Linked DNA regions of Drosophila melanogaster. The protein of the gene in region 1 interacts with the protein of each later gene in a pairwise test. Each region holds a gene or a part of one and is shown in the gene's direction. Other genes may lie near its edges.

Region 1 (8,923 bases):
ATGAGGGCATTGTAGAGCCCGCAGCGTTTAGCGTTACGCATGACAAATAAATTTCAAAATGGCAACGCCTTTGCAGACGGGCGCACACGTTCCTGTAAAAAACATATATATAAAAAAAAAAAACGAGTGCCTTGAACTCTAATTTTATGTCAGTTACGCGTTGACAATACTTGGCTGGCTCATGTGTCTGGGTTGCAGCCGCCGGTCACAACAAAGCCACGACAATTTCCCAAACATAAAGGAACAAAGAGATACCCCTCTAAAAAAAAAAAAAATAAAAGACAAAATCGAATTTCCCTTCCGTTCTGGTGGCGTGTGAAAAGTCATTGGCATAAGCAGATTCCATTGTTTTGTCTTCACTTCTTGCTTTGACAGCTGACAAACTGTGCGTGTGTTTTTTATTTATTTATTTATTTATTTATTTATTTATTTTTGCTTTTGGTTCTCCTGGCGTTTTTTTGTGGCGTGTTATGTTGAACAATTATTGGCTAATTTGTAGGCACGCAGCGGGAAATCTCATCAAAGTTGCTTGATTGACTTGACCTCCAGCTTGCAGGTGGCAGAGCTACAGGTGTCTCTGGTGAAACGTGTCTGAAATTTATGCACAATCTCCCTTTAAGCCTTAAATCTTTTCTATGCTTTAAGCACTGTACATTTTCCTGGCTCATGGCGTTTCCCACAGGAAGAAGTCCTTTTTCCCTGGTACCTCCTTACGATTCTGCCTCCCTGTTTTTCGTTTCAGGCCCGCACGCGCCGCATTAAATTTGCCACTGGGGCAATTCGTTGAGGCTTAGTATTTGTTACGCACATTTTGGTCTTTTGTTACAGGCATTTTCCGGGCTCCGCTTAAGGGACAAATGGGCACCGAGAAAATAAATTTAGCATACCAATCCTGCTTATTAATTTATTTATAATAATATGCATGCGTTTACTAATAACAACTTTTTTATTTAACATAATATATATCTTCAATATAGCAAGAGATAGTTAGATAATAAATTAGAAATGTTATAAAATAACGCGTATCCAAATATTTCGAAGTTTTATATTTCCAGGCGCAAATTTAAGAGATTTAAATTCGGAATGAAATTTCAATTATATTTTAGATTCGACTTTTTCTCTAAGTGGACTGAGCAAACGCCTAGTCGCAGATCAGCCATCTAAGACTTTAACTATCGGATGACGGATAAGGCATAAATAATGAAAAGCAATTTCAGCGCATATTGGCGCATTGACATCGACCTGAATCCGACAGTCAGTGGCGTAGAAGGTGGGCAGGGGAAGGGGGTCTGGATATCGTCTTAGCCGCCCACAAGTATTTTACATTGCGGACAAGGGCAAATGGGCTTGGGGACAGGTTGGTAAAATGCCATCAAGGGCCACAAACATTTCATCATCGTCGCGAGCGCTTTTACCAAATGTAATTACACTCAAGAGATACACGTGCCGCCAACAGCCGCTCGTTTTTGGGGCGTTTTTCAATTTGAATTTGACTGCCGACAGGCGGGGCTCATCTCCACTCATCTCCCGGCACTTGAGCAAATTTGCCTGCCCGCCGAAATGCCCGTCCATCAATATTCCGACCCGTCCTTCCCTGCAAATCCACTTCAAGTGAGTTTGTTTACCTTTGCCGATGGCTGGTCTTTAGTTAGGATTTTGAGCCCACCTAATGAGCTTTAGCTGGCGGGTGCTTCGTCTGAAATTCCGCTTCGATATCCAGACTGCTTCAAAATGTCAACTTGAGAAAGGGAAACGACGTTGACTTGAGCTTTGAACCTTTGTTTGGCTCGAATGATTTATGTAGTTTTAATGTATTAGTGAATCTGATCTGGCTGAAAACAATGAACTGGATTTAGCGAGGATTAAATAAACAATTCATGGTGATTAACAGAAACGCAAGGAAGATGTACAATTTAAAAGATTCATATATCTTCAGCGGATTCTCAGTAAGACGGTGCCTTTTCCTTATCATTTGGAATTCCCTACGCACTCATTGTTAAAATTTAATCATAATGGTGCCAGGCAGTTTTCGGTTCCAGTACTTATCGACCCCGAAGTATAAACGAATTTATGACGACGTCATATCCTGCCTTTGCTCAATAAACACAAGATCTTTTAAGTATCGCACTGCACTGCAGCAGATAATTTTCAGATTGCTCAAAGTTAAACGAACCCAAAGGAATTCGTTTCTCTGCATTCGAATACTCAATTTTAATTTGTTTACTGGTCGGCGCGTGCAGATCGGCAGCTTAATTACGCACTAAAACGTTTTATCAATTAATCAACGCGGCGGCTAATTAATTTGTGCTTCTACTTTCATTTGCTTTCAGTGTGAATACACGCTGCCAAATAAAAGAAGACTCAAGAAGATGGCGCCCACCATATGCTCGGAGAAAAAGCAGCTGCGCGAAACGCGGCGACATCATGGCGTGGCCACAGCCGCCATTTCATCAGCATCCGCAACCGCATCCACCGCATCATCGTCCTCGTCCTTGTCCGTGGGATCCACATCTGCAGCTGCCGCCACACAAGCTAGTTCGGTGCTCAACCATGGTGAGTAAACACTGAGATTACTCAGTAAAATGTAGTAGCGAAAATACAATAGTTCGCGTTAGGTTTAATATTCTTATTTTATTAGTTTCACACGACTGTATTACATTCAAATTTTAATTAATTTAAGCGCAATTAAATCTATCTCTCATTTATAATTTATCATATATAGAAGCTTAAGTCAATTTTGTTCAGTGCCAATAGCTTGCGGTGGGCGCACGCGGCGTATACGTAACATAGCCTTACATATTCATTGCAATATCCGCCTTGTCTCTTATCTGTTTTACTTTATTTTTTTTTTTTGGTATACCCTTTATATTCAGAATCCCCTGCTGATTTGCTGATGTCGTTGGTGTTGTGACTGTTACAAGTCCATTTCCCAGTTGCCAGTTGCCGAGCTGCTCACGTTACTCGGTCATGTTTAATTAATTTATGTAAACTCGGCCACCCACCTCCGTTCTCGGAGGTCTGTCCTCGTTTCCCACTTCCTCATTGCCATATAACCATGCATATGTGTGGCTCGACTAGAGAACTGGAATGCTCAAATGCACGTGCCATGGGCGATGGGCGATGGGCGTTTTGCGATGGGTTCACAATTGGGTTCGCATCGGGTTCTTCACGTGTTGGTCTCCGGTGTTTCATTGATGCTAATACTGCCAATGTTGCTCCATGGAAGGCACGCGAGTTTGGTGTTATGCCACAACAATTTGCGTCAGCAATTGGCTCCAGCTGCTCTTCCGCCGGCATTGGCTGTTGGGTAAGACAGACTCGGCTCGCAAATCTGGCTGACACATTTATATAAGCGATCTAATGCCGCATGACTGCCACCGAAATGGATATGGGCTCAGTGGGATGCAATGGGTATCGAGTAGCAGGCGAGAAGGCAAGACAGTTTATCAAGTATCTAAAAATAGAAATTTTCAGATCAAGTCGATTTAAAATATATGGATTATTATTAAGATTAATTCGAGATTAAACAGACAACAAACCGCGTTCTGGAGATCATTGCTCAAATTTAGAGCAACAATTAGAAAGAAATTTAAAAGATACTTGCAGAGTCTTTAGAATATTTTACACATCCCAGTCAAATGATGCCCACTGATTACTCATTAGCCAAGTGCAATTGCCCGAACATTTTCTTAGATATTTTCCAAGAAATATTTCACAAGCACACGTAGCCAGGGGCGTCGGCCTGCGGGGCTTCCACATAAGTGTGTGTCATAACCTCCAGTGTTGTTATTGCTGCTGTGCCACTTTTGCCGGAGCTTTATTTACATGTTTTGCACATTTACTTCGCTTGCTTTTAGCCAAGTTTGCTATTTTTTTTCTCTTTGCTGCTGGTGCCATTTCCAAAGTGAATTCATTGAAAGCACCACTGTTGTTGCTGCCTTTTTATTTGTGCTCGTTGCTGCCTGCTAATTTGCAGCAACACATAAAAATAAACTGAAAGAAATACACCGACACAAGCCTTAAATAAAAATGGGTGTGACGAGGCCACGTGCAAGCCTCATGACGCTACAAATTCAAAACCCCCCAAACTCGTCAGCCTTCCCTGGGGAGGCGGCGTTCGAAAGGGGCGTGGCAGCCGGAGGGTTGGAATGTTGGCCAATGCCCTCGCCCTCTGCCATCACTGAAGGTATTTAACATTTTATTTCCATTTTAGCATCACCGGTGACTAATTCACAGAGAACGAAGCGAGGCACGTGCAATGGCGCGGCGATGACGAGGCAAGAGAACTCCAGTACTTTTAAAGTGTGTGAATAGAAGTTAGATACAGCCCAATGTTAGATACACACTATCAGTGTGGTTTTAAAATGGGTTAAGTAAATAGTTTGTTCTTAATATTGAAGTATCTTTTAGATAACTTAAATTTCTGTTGAGCAACTGCAATTTTTTATTCCAAGCCCAAGGCGCAAGCGAAAAACTCGATTAGTTTCATTAGTTAGTTTTTTACGAGAAACCCATTTTAATTCAAATGAAGTTACTAACTGTCAACCATAGTAGTAGGAGATTTTTGATTTCACTCGCATGAAAATTAAAGTACAAAACAGGAACAGAGTTCTTTCTTAGTCATGGAACTTGAAAACGTTAAAAGTTTGGGGGAAATTGCTAAATGTGCAAAGATGCCATTAAACGAAATGGATCTCATATCCCGAACTTCGAAATGTGGAAAAAGTGTTTTAGAAATCTTCGACGTCGATGAGAAGGTCAGTTTCTCATATGATGGAGGTGAGGAGGAAGAAATGGATATTCTCGATCGTTCAGAGCAGTCTGATGATCGACCAGTGAAAATGGCACACGATATTGACTGCCTGATTCGACAGATTGAGCTTATGCAAATAGCGATTAGGAAGCGTCAAGTTAAGAAGTGCAGCGAAGAAATTAGCGAAGAAACTGCTGAAATAGAAATAGAAGCCGGTGCTCAAGTAAAGTGCAAACAGCGGAAAAACCAAGGAATCGACATTAAGATTAAGGAAAAGTCTGTAGCCATTTGTCCGAATAACCAACCTTTGTGCGGCAATGAATTGCTGGAAGCCAGGAGTCTTCGTCAGGCCCACAATCGCATTCAATTGCAAATAGACGAACTGATCTGCAGGTATAGGAAACTCCGCGAAATCATCCACCAAATGCGCGAAAGGATTCGCTGCATGGAAGGCAATCTTATAGATTTAAATTCTGAAGCCGTTAAGTATGTAGCTTGGTCCAGCGAAGTTTCCAAGGAACTGAAGTTGTGCCAGGAGCGATACAATTACCTTGTCAATGCCAAGATGTCCAAAGCGGATGCAAAAAAACTAGACCACGCTCACACCACACGATTCCTTAAACAAAATGCAGCTTGCCTTTCCAAAAGTCGTCTAAAGCGCGAAATCGCTGATTTCAATGGCGAGGTCAAGGATCTTGTGAATCTAATGAGTGAATTGCACAAGGAACTGGATCGGAATATGGCTGTTTTCGAATCACGGCATTCGAATTTTCTTGATGATCCAGAAGAGTTTCTATCATCCTTGACTGTGACGGTTAGACTATCCGATGAGTTCCGGAAGTCACAAATGAAACTTGAAGACAGCGCCAATTAGAATTTGATCATTAAAATAGCTTTATTTATTGTTAAGGGAAATATTTCATATTAGCACCATTATTTCGACCAAAAATTACTAATAATAAAAATATATAAATCGGTCTTCGTATTAAAAACAATAAAAATAAATTACGTAAAATGGACGTAAAATGTTTCTGGCGCAGGAAGTCCCTGATGATGTGTTAGCCCGCTTCGCACAATACGTCATCGACTTTCTCTCATTTCCTTTCACCTTTCACGAGGGCGTCATTAGTTGGCTGCTACCTTCACGGAGCCAATCTCACGTTTCGCTGCACTGGGGCAAGGTGTCGTTATCACGTAAGCTCTATTTGGCCAACCTGACAACGACTTCGTTCCAATTTTAGCGATTCCTCGGGTGCAGTGCCATGTGCAGCGTAAACTTCTAGGAGATGCGTCATGACCCTGACCATAGACACAGTCTATTTCCAATCGTTGTGTGCAGGAATTATGCGCTTACATACAGATATGAGGTATACATATTCATTAGAGAATTGTAACTTTATGTGTACATGCTTATTCCAAATGAATTGTGTAGAGCCAGCTAATGAAAATTATAATATATTCTTTGTTCATTACATTTTTTAATTGCAGAAATATTTTTGTTTGTATGACCTACATTTCATTTTCTATATGTAAGGCACATTTAGCTTTATATATTTTTGGTTGTGTTTCATTTTTCGTGACTTTCAACAGCTGATGTTTGCAATGAGCGTTGCGACTGCTAATTGGTGCAAAAAGCGTTGTCGTCGCCGGAACGCTTAACCCTGGTGCTGGTCACGTTTTTTGCCCACACGCGATGACCACATTTACATACCAGATACCCACACAGAGACACATGCACACAGACAATGTTGTAGACATCGACTGATTAGCTAAGCACTTGACCACACAACTGCACCGTGGGCTCGGAAAATCGCTGTGCTTTTAGTTTTTTTTTTTCTAAATCAGGAAACGAGTTTAATTTTAAACTTCATTAAATGGGTTAAAATCATTGTATTTCGCTTACGTGCAACAATTTGTAGACAATGTATAAAAACGAGGTCATGTTATTAAATTGCCTGAGTTCGCTCACGAGCTTTGAGCTGCGAATTACACACTCAAATGATTAATTAATTAAAGTTAATTATTAGCTATATTATTAATTGTTTTACAAAAATTAGACATGATTTTCATTCACTGTACAGCTTTCAAGCTTTTTCTTTGTTCACTACTTAACTAAGTTTCTTTGTTCCTCTTTTTGTGTTTGCAGTGGCCAAAGGTTCGATGAACTCGATGAGCCGCCGTCGACCGGCGCGATTACAGCGCAGGATGCCTCACATCCTTGCCCGCGTGTCCTCCTTCTCCACGGACACGAGCAGCGGCGTGGAAACGGAGGTGGAGATGGACTCCGAGCAGAGGATGCAGCTGGACGACGACCGCTACTCGGATGCCAGGATCCAGGGACTGCAGCAACAGCCACATTCCAGCAGCGACAACATCAAGACAGTATTACAGCCGACGACGGCTAGCGGATATAGTAGCAAGCAGAACCGATCGGCCAGGGCCAAAAACTGTGATCGAGAGGTGCCGCTCCAGATAGAGGACGACCACGATGGCGACAGTGGGTACGAGTACAGCCAGGATCCCATAAAGGAGCAGCACATGTACCACCAGAATAGCGAAGGCCTGTTGTCCATTGCCATCAAGACTATCAAGCTGGTGCAGCGCAACAAGCTGCTGCAAAAGCGATTGGCCCAACTGCAGCTGGAGACCTCGGAGTTCATTGCCTCGGTGCTGGCCAACCCGGAAAATCGCCAATTCCGTGACAAAATGTCGCCAAAGGCAGAGGCCAAGGTCAGCAACATGCTGCTGCGCCACTAAATTGATCTGGAAAAGTCAAAACAGGCCCCATTTCTGGACGTGATAAGAGTTTTATTTGAAAACAAATTTTAAGTCATAGCGAATTGTATTTGATTTTTTATGTATTCGCCCAGAGCATTTGTATTCTGTCGCTTAAAGATTTGACGTATTTATTCGCATTGCTCGGCATGTTGCGGCAACATTTTAGGCAACATCCAAGAAATATTGCCAGCTTCTGGGCTGAGCGTGTAAATTACATGGAAAATATATGTAAAATCCGAATATCATGAATACACGTAATGTATTAAGTTGTAAATGCTTCGCTGCCTATATTTTTGAAATTCCTTGTTACAATTTTTGGCTTTTATATGCGATATGCATAAAAAATTTTTATTAATTTAATACCTTTAATTTATTATTACCATAATCGAATAGATTCCTTTTTTAAACGTATTTTCAAATTTGTCCACAATACATACATTATACACGTCCAGAAATCCAAATTTCAATGGGCTTCGTTTTGAAAAATTCGTACTGATTAAATATACAAACATATTCATCAAGGTTTAATGAAGAAATCGCTATGCTAACATTTACAAAAAAAAAGAAAATATTTATACGAATCCAAAAAGTCCAAAAGTGTATCTGTAGTCGTTAAGAAATTTTATGTTTTACAGTCTCTACACTCAAGAATTAATTTATAATAAATCTATCTAATACATATATCTAGATAACCCCAGCATAATCAATGGAACCCTACTACGCTTTTCGCTTTATACAACAAATAGATATAGTGAGAATTAATTGATATGCAAAGCAATTGGTTTAAAGAAAAATACGTAAATTTTTTTCGGTATTATTAAACTAACTGATATATTTCAATGAATATGCCTAAGTATATCGAAACTATCAAAACGCTACAAAGCAACACAAATCAAAGCAAAACCAAAATACCAACTAAAAGCAAATCTTTCCAATTCTAAATCTTTTAATAAACCTCTCTGGCATATTCCTCCTACCTAAAGGAACAAATCATCCAACTCATAACAAAAGAATTCATCAATAAAATTAGTGACCAATTAAACATATTTCACATTATTTCTTTTTGGGGTTTCTTGGCTCACACGCAGCCCGACCATAAAGTAAACAAGTCATGGCTGTGTGTACTTTGGTCGTGTCAATAACACCCAATCAAAGCGTTCAAAGACCATCTCGGCTGCACAGATTTGACATGGAGTCTGTCATCGAGTTTGTCACGAAGGTATGGATGTTCTGAAAAACGCTGAATAAGTGGTGGGAAATATTTAAAAAGTTTATTCAAACATTTTAAAATGACAAGGTTTAATATGACATAAAATGATGTAGAAGCACTTAGGTAAAACAAAATCTAGATTACACATTTTCGGAACTCCCTATCAATTGTTGGTTATAATG
Region 2 (5,494 bases), on another chromosome or scaffold:
TTTAAATTCTATTTTAAGTTCTGTTCAAGCGCGTCAGGAAGCAAACGTAAGGAAATGGTTGACCGTGAATGGTGGACACGTTTCCCACTAATATGGCTGGAAAGCTTAAGGCTTCCTTTTATATATATGATACATATTATTTAAAATATAACCATAGATTTTATAAAATATTATAAATATTTTATTAACACTCATAATATAAATTGCTTAGTTTTGTTTACTCGCCACACTCATTGATGTAACAAAAATGACAAGTAATTTTGAAGTCATTTCATTTTTCATTTGCTTGGGATTAACATTTTTCTTAAAGGACTTTGAGCGTGCATAAAAAATTATCTTTAGCACCATAAAGAACTATATTCACTGCAATTTAAAATGAAAATAAATCTGATCGGGTTAAATGAAAATCGACTCCAAAAGAAAAAATCCTATTTCATCAAGGAATATTCTCTTATTTTTTCTTTTGAATAAAGTTTCCTTTTCCATTTGACTCTTCACCGTCGTTCAGTCAGGGCTTTTTTTCCCCAGGCTACGTGTTTAAAAATATAATCGTATTGAATATTTAAATGCTCGCCAGGGCAAAAGTCGCCAAATACGCTGGCAAAACTGGACGGGAATCAAAATCAAATGCAATGCCTGCGGCTTCGGCGAATGCTGGCTGCCTGTCAGCCTGGCACAAAATTAGATTTAAATATTTTGGCATTTCCCATCAATTTTCATATAATGCAACCCCATCCTTTTCGCTGGGATGCAGGTCCTGTTGCATGGAGGAATGCTGATAGTGAGTGGGATTCGTCTGTGGCAAGTCATTCCAGCCCTACACAAGCGCACACATCGATGTGGATTGAAAGACAGGCGCACACAACCACACATGCTCAATCATTTATGCAGCAATCAGTGCTGACGTCTTTTCCACACGTACGATTACCGGCATAGAGAATCGAGCCCTACTCTCGGTTATGTGGAGCATATTGGGAATCGAAATTGAGTGCGGGTTAACAATGAGGCAGTTGAGATTGCGGCAGCTTCTCTCGAACTTCTGTTGCTCGTGAGTTTCTTGAATTTAAATCAATGGCCCGGGCATCCACTGCGTATGAGTAATATTATACAAGGATGAACAGGTAATTTAATTTAGCTTTTCGGAACAATTTTTTGTTCACAGAATGCAATCAAAACATGTATGAGATAATATACATTTAAACAATCGTTGTCGAATTATTTATTTTATCATGATCCCTACTTTTTTATAAATTGACAATCATTTAAGTAAACAATCCTTTCAGCAAAACAGAAATAACTCCTTTTTCAAGGTGCAACCGTGAAGGACGACTGCACAAAAACTCTATTGGATTATTTGAAGGTTGAAATCAAATTAAGTCAAGTGAATAAATTGACTTTTAGTGCATATAAAAATCGCAAAAAGCGCAAATAAAAATGAAATAAAATTGCGATGGATAAAAAGTTTAAAAGTGAATCCATAGAAATTCATCGTTTGCTGATGACGAAACATGAAAAAAGGAAACTTAAAATTGGTTATATATACGAAATTAACAAGGGAAATTAAACGATCACATAGCAAAGCATTTTTTTGGAAAGTAGTCATTGCATATATTGCTTTCTGAGAAACTTCGTATAAATTTAAATTATTAAAATAAACCGCTAGAAAAATAAGTTAAAATTTGATATCAATTAGAATGGATAACGACAATATGCTCGACTTTACAGACTTAATCAGCTGCAAGGACTTACCGAACATAACTCTGCACAATATCCGTCCCATTTACAGTATAAAGGTTTTCATGTCCGAACCTAAAAACTCCAATGTCTCTATTGCTGAATTAATCAAACGCCAGGAAGTGTCTGCAGAGCAATGTCGCAAGGCACTTAAAGTCATAAAGGACAGACTTCTTCTGAAAATGGCAGCGTTGCAAGAGCTTAAGAAGTATCTGCTGGATTTGCATTCGGAGATCAAAAAGCCCGGTGCAGGGACTCGTTTTGTGACCAATCAGGAGAAAGTTAAATTGCATTTCCTAGACGAGACGGAAATCAGAGAAGTCGAATTGTCTGACGCCGTAGAACGTTGCAATATAAAGCTGAGCTCGCTTTATTGCGAAATCCTGGCTTTGGACAGCGACATGGGCAGTGTCGCCTATTTGGAGAGGGTCGCCCAGATCAACAAAGACTTTATCATGGATTGGCATAAGACTCAGAGGCAGAATAAGACAAGCAACATCCATTGTTCCGGCCAAGGCGTCAAAAAGACTTTTTAATTTGGACTGTTTTAAACTTTACATGTTTCACTCATATGCAATTATTATCGCACTATTCTGGAAAATAAATATTTATCGCGAAAGCAAATACAAAATGTTTTATTACACCTCTCCGAGATTGAATAGTTGAATTTCCAGCAATGAAATTAGCCTTAAGTAATGTGCTCCTCTCTTAAATCCTATCCCTAGGAATCTTTTTTCCCCCTCGACTTTTCCTGCTTCGTGTCCTTCCGTTTCCCTTTTCTCCGTTTACCTGTCACTGACAGCCCGCTGGCCGCTTCATCTTCATTCCCCGTCCATGAATAATCCCTGCGACACTTGCGTTTCATGGCTTTGCATAGTTAGGACCTGTTAAAGGAGGGACCTGGTCCTGGACAGTGTGCTCAGGCATCTCCTCTCTTAGCCAGCGCTTAGCTGGACCTGGGGAGTTGAATCTGTAGCTGCACAGCAAAAAAAATTTTAAAGGTTTCAAAAAGATCTCAAAAAAATGTCCCAAGAGTTTTAAACTCTATATAGAATAGTCTTGAGTTACGTGTCCCGTTCAGGTAGTATTTTTAATACCATTTGCTGGCAAGTTACTAATATTTTCTCTGAGTGTTCAGTTAGCTGGGAACCGGAGCAGGAAGCCAACAACAGGTTGCGTGCCAATGCAGTTTTTCATCGTGAAATGTCGGCGCTGATAGCGATTGTAATTATTATGCTGAACTGCGGGTATGTATGTATGTATGCAAGGGGATTCGCTTTTACGAGAGGCAGAATGGTTCTATTTCAGGTCCTGGCCACTCTTACTTGTTTCCCATTCTTTTTCCGTCTTGTTGCTATCCACTCTCCGACGCATAAACACCGCTAGTTATGCAATAAATAAAATGCAATTGTTGCGTCACAAAAGCTACATAGATGGCAGTGCGTTGGTCAGAAGGGGGGATTGGCTTTTTGGCTCTGGGCTTTTGCCGCCATGTTTGCGAACAACAGCAAGATGGCGCCCCGCATCCGTTATAGCCGAACATCCAATTCCGCGCTCACTTTCGCTGCCTCAGTTGCTGGGCGTCTGCTTCACTTCCGGTTGGAAAAGTTGTTGCATTGTGTGCGTTTTCGTGGAGGTTCCACATCCGCTTTACCAGCTCTCCCAGCTACTCTAGCTTACTTGGCACCGCTTTAATTTGACAAACCATCGCATTTAACGGCCCGGCGTAGTTTATGCTCCTCGAACAGGCAGCGACATCAAGGCGAAAGGTCAAGGAGGTGGCATAAATAATGCAGCGAACAACGAAAACGACAAAGTTGCCAAAGACTTGGACTAACCGGCTGCTGTTGCTGCTGTTTCTGGCCAAAACTCACTTGGCCAGCATAGAAATTGCAGTTTACAGTTGCTAATTGAGTGTGCCTAGTCTGTGCAGGTGGCCTAATGTTGGTAATTAGTGTGAGCCAACTTTGCCAAAAAGATTCCGGCACAAAGTTGCCCAGGATGGGCTTTTGTCAATTGCATAAGTTGCCGTCGTGTCCGGAAAATCTATGTATGAGATTGGATAACAATGAATTATATTTAGCAAACGAATTTCAATTAAAAAAAACACCTTAATTGAGAATGATTCCAGTCTTAGTATAATTTGCTAGGTGGTAAAGGCACCGCTTGAATTTAAGTTACATATTGACTATATTATTATTTTACTCACCCTGATTAGCGTTAAACACCAAAGTGGTTCACATTTTAGCACACTATTATCCTTAGCAATATGATTTAGTGCTTTGTGGAATCTGCTGAATATACATGGAATGACTTTCAGGTGGAGCACATTAAAGCCCATACAGTGATATGCACTCTTGGCTAACTGAAATAGCATGTATAGGCCTTGCTGTGCATTCGGTTTAAACTCGATTAAAGCCACGCACAACGACATCGGAATAATGCAATTGTTTCGGGTATATAGCTGACCAGTTTATGGGCAATCCGAGAGATTTCGAGCGTCTGCAGGCAGGACCAAGCGATCCAGGACACGTGTGCGTGCTTTGTCTGGCCAGAGAGGACAACGAGGAGAGGTTGCCACATGTGGCAAATTAACTTTAAATTAAGCAATTAATTTAATTAGAGCACGGCGAGTGCACAGTGCGACCCCAAAGATTTGCCGCACACGCAACAGTTGCAATTAAGCAGCCTTCGCACACAGATGTCCCCACACAAATACAGGCGTAGTCACAGTAGTGCACACCCCCACTCACAGATACACATATTAACGTAAAACAATGCCGTTTCAGCTGCAATTGCATTTTAAGCGCATGCGGAAATTACAAACTCAAATTGATAAAGCAAAACCTGTGCACATGTGTGGCCCTGGCATATGGCATATGGCAGTAATAAAAATCTGGTTATATAAGGTGAAAAATTGGCTTACGCCTGGGACTCCAGCATGGCCAAAGAAATCCGAGTGCCAGCACATATGAAATCGGAATGCAATTCATTTCTCCATTAACCAATTAAACGCAATTCATCAACTGACGTTCGCAATTTGCAAAAAAATAAAGAAATAACAAAACTATTAATAAGGGATGTAAAAACTTTTACAATTTTAAATTTCCACTGACAGTCAACATTGAAAGGGTTTTTCAGTCAAACGGAAATTTGTTTTCAATTAAGAGTTGATTTAAATTTAACTGCCTTTTCATGACGAACGCATGAAAAATCAGTTATAAATACCTTCTACGGTAATATGCAGACGTTAAACAAATGTATGCTAAAACTTTTAATTTAAAACACCATAAGCTTCTTAACTTTCCTTTGCTTGCCAAATTCTCAACGAAAATCACAAGTCTTACTTTAATGAATATTCTTGCACTATTAAGTTCAAACAAAAGTGAGTAAACTCTTTAATTTACTGGCTTTCAGTCAATGTATTTCACGCCAATGGCTAAGATCCAATTAGTGGCACTTAAACTCTATGTCTGAGTTAAACTATATGGTAGTTAAAACTGTTAAGTCATCAAGCACTTTCTGCGGCATTTGCGGCTGCCAAAAAAGGAAAATTCATCCCCATCAGCATGCTGTACAGCTTTCTGCTATCGAAGAGAATGAGAGATACGGATAGTAAAAAGTTAGACGATTGGTAAGCGGCTTAGTGGTCATTTTGTATACATTTAGACTTACTAGATCGAGTCGGTGCACTTGCCCTGGGCATCTCGCACCTGATGATTTCGGCAGCGAGCGGGTTTCTTGGTAGCCGGCACCGAAG

What was found. Proteins that work in one complex are often made in the same cells at the same time.
Region 2: the proteins of CG14556 (region 1) and CG15124 interact in a two-hybrid assay, tested with the Drosophila melanogaster proteins (one large-scale study listed by BioGRID).

What each region holds. Positions count from the first base shown.
Region 1 is NT_033777.3:26,122,105-26,131,027, forward strand, and holds CG14556 (uncharacterized protein), read left to right. Parts: upstream 1-4,554; 5' UTR 4,555-4,622; coding exon 4,623-5,627; 3' UTR 5,628-5,764; downstream 5,765-8,923. Other genes in the region: Cipc (clock interacting protein circadian), read left to right, coding at 2,370-2,553, 6,900-7,510.
Region 2 is NT_033778.4:19,641,344-19,646,837, forward strand, and holds CG15124 (uncharacterized protein), read left to right. Parts: upstream 1-1,603; 5' UTR 1,604-1,694; coding exon 1,695-2,270; 3' UTR 2,271-2,355; downstream 2,356-5,494. Other genes in the region: CG15905 (uncharacterized protein), read right to left, coding at 5,246-5,321, 5,410-5,494.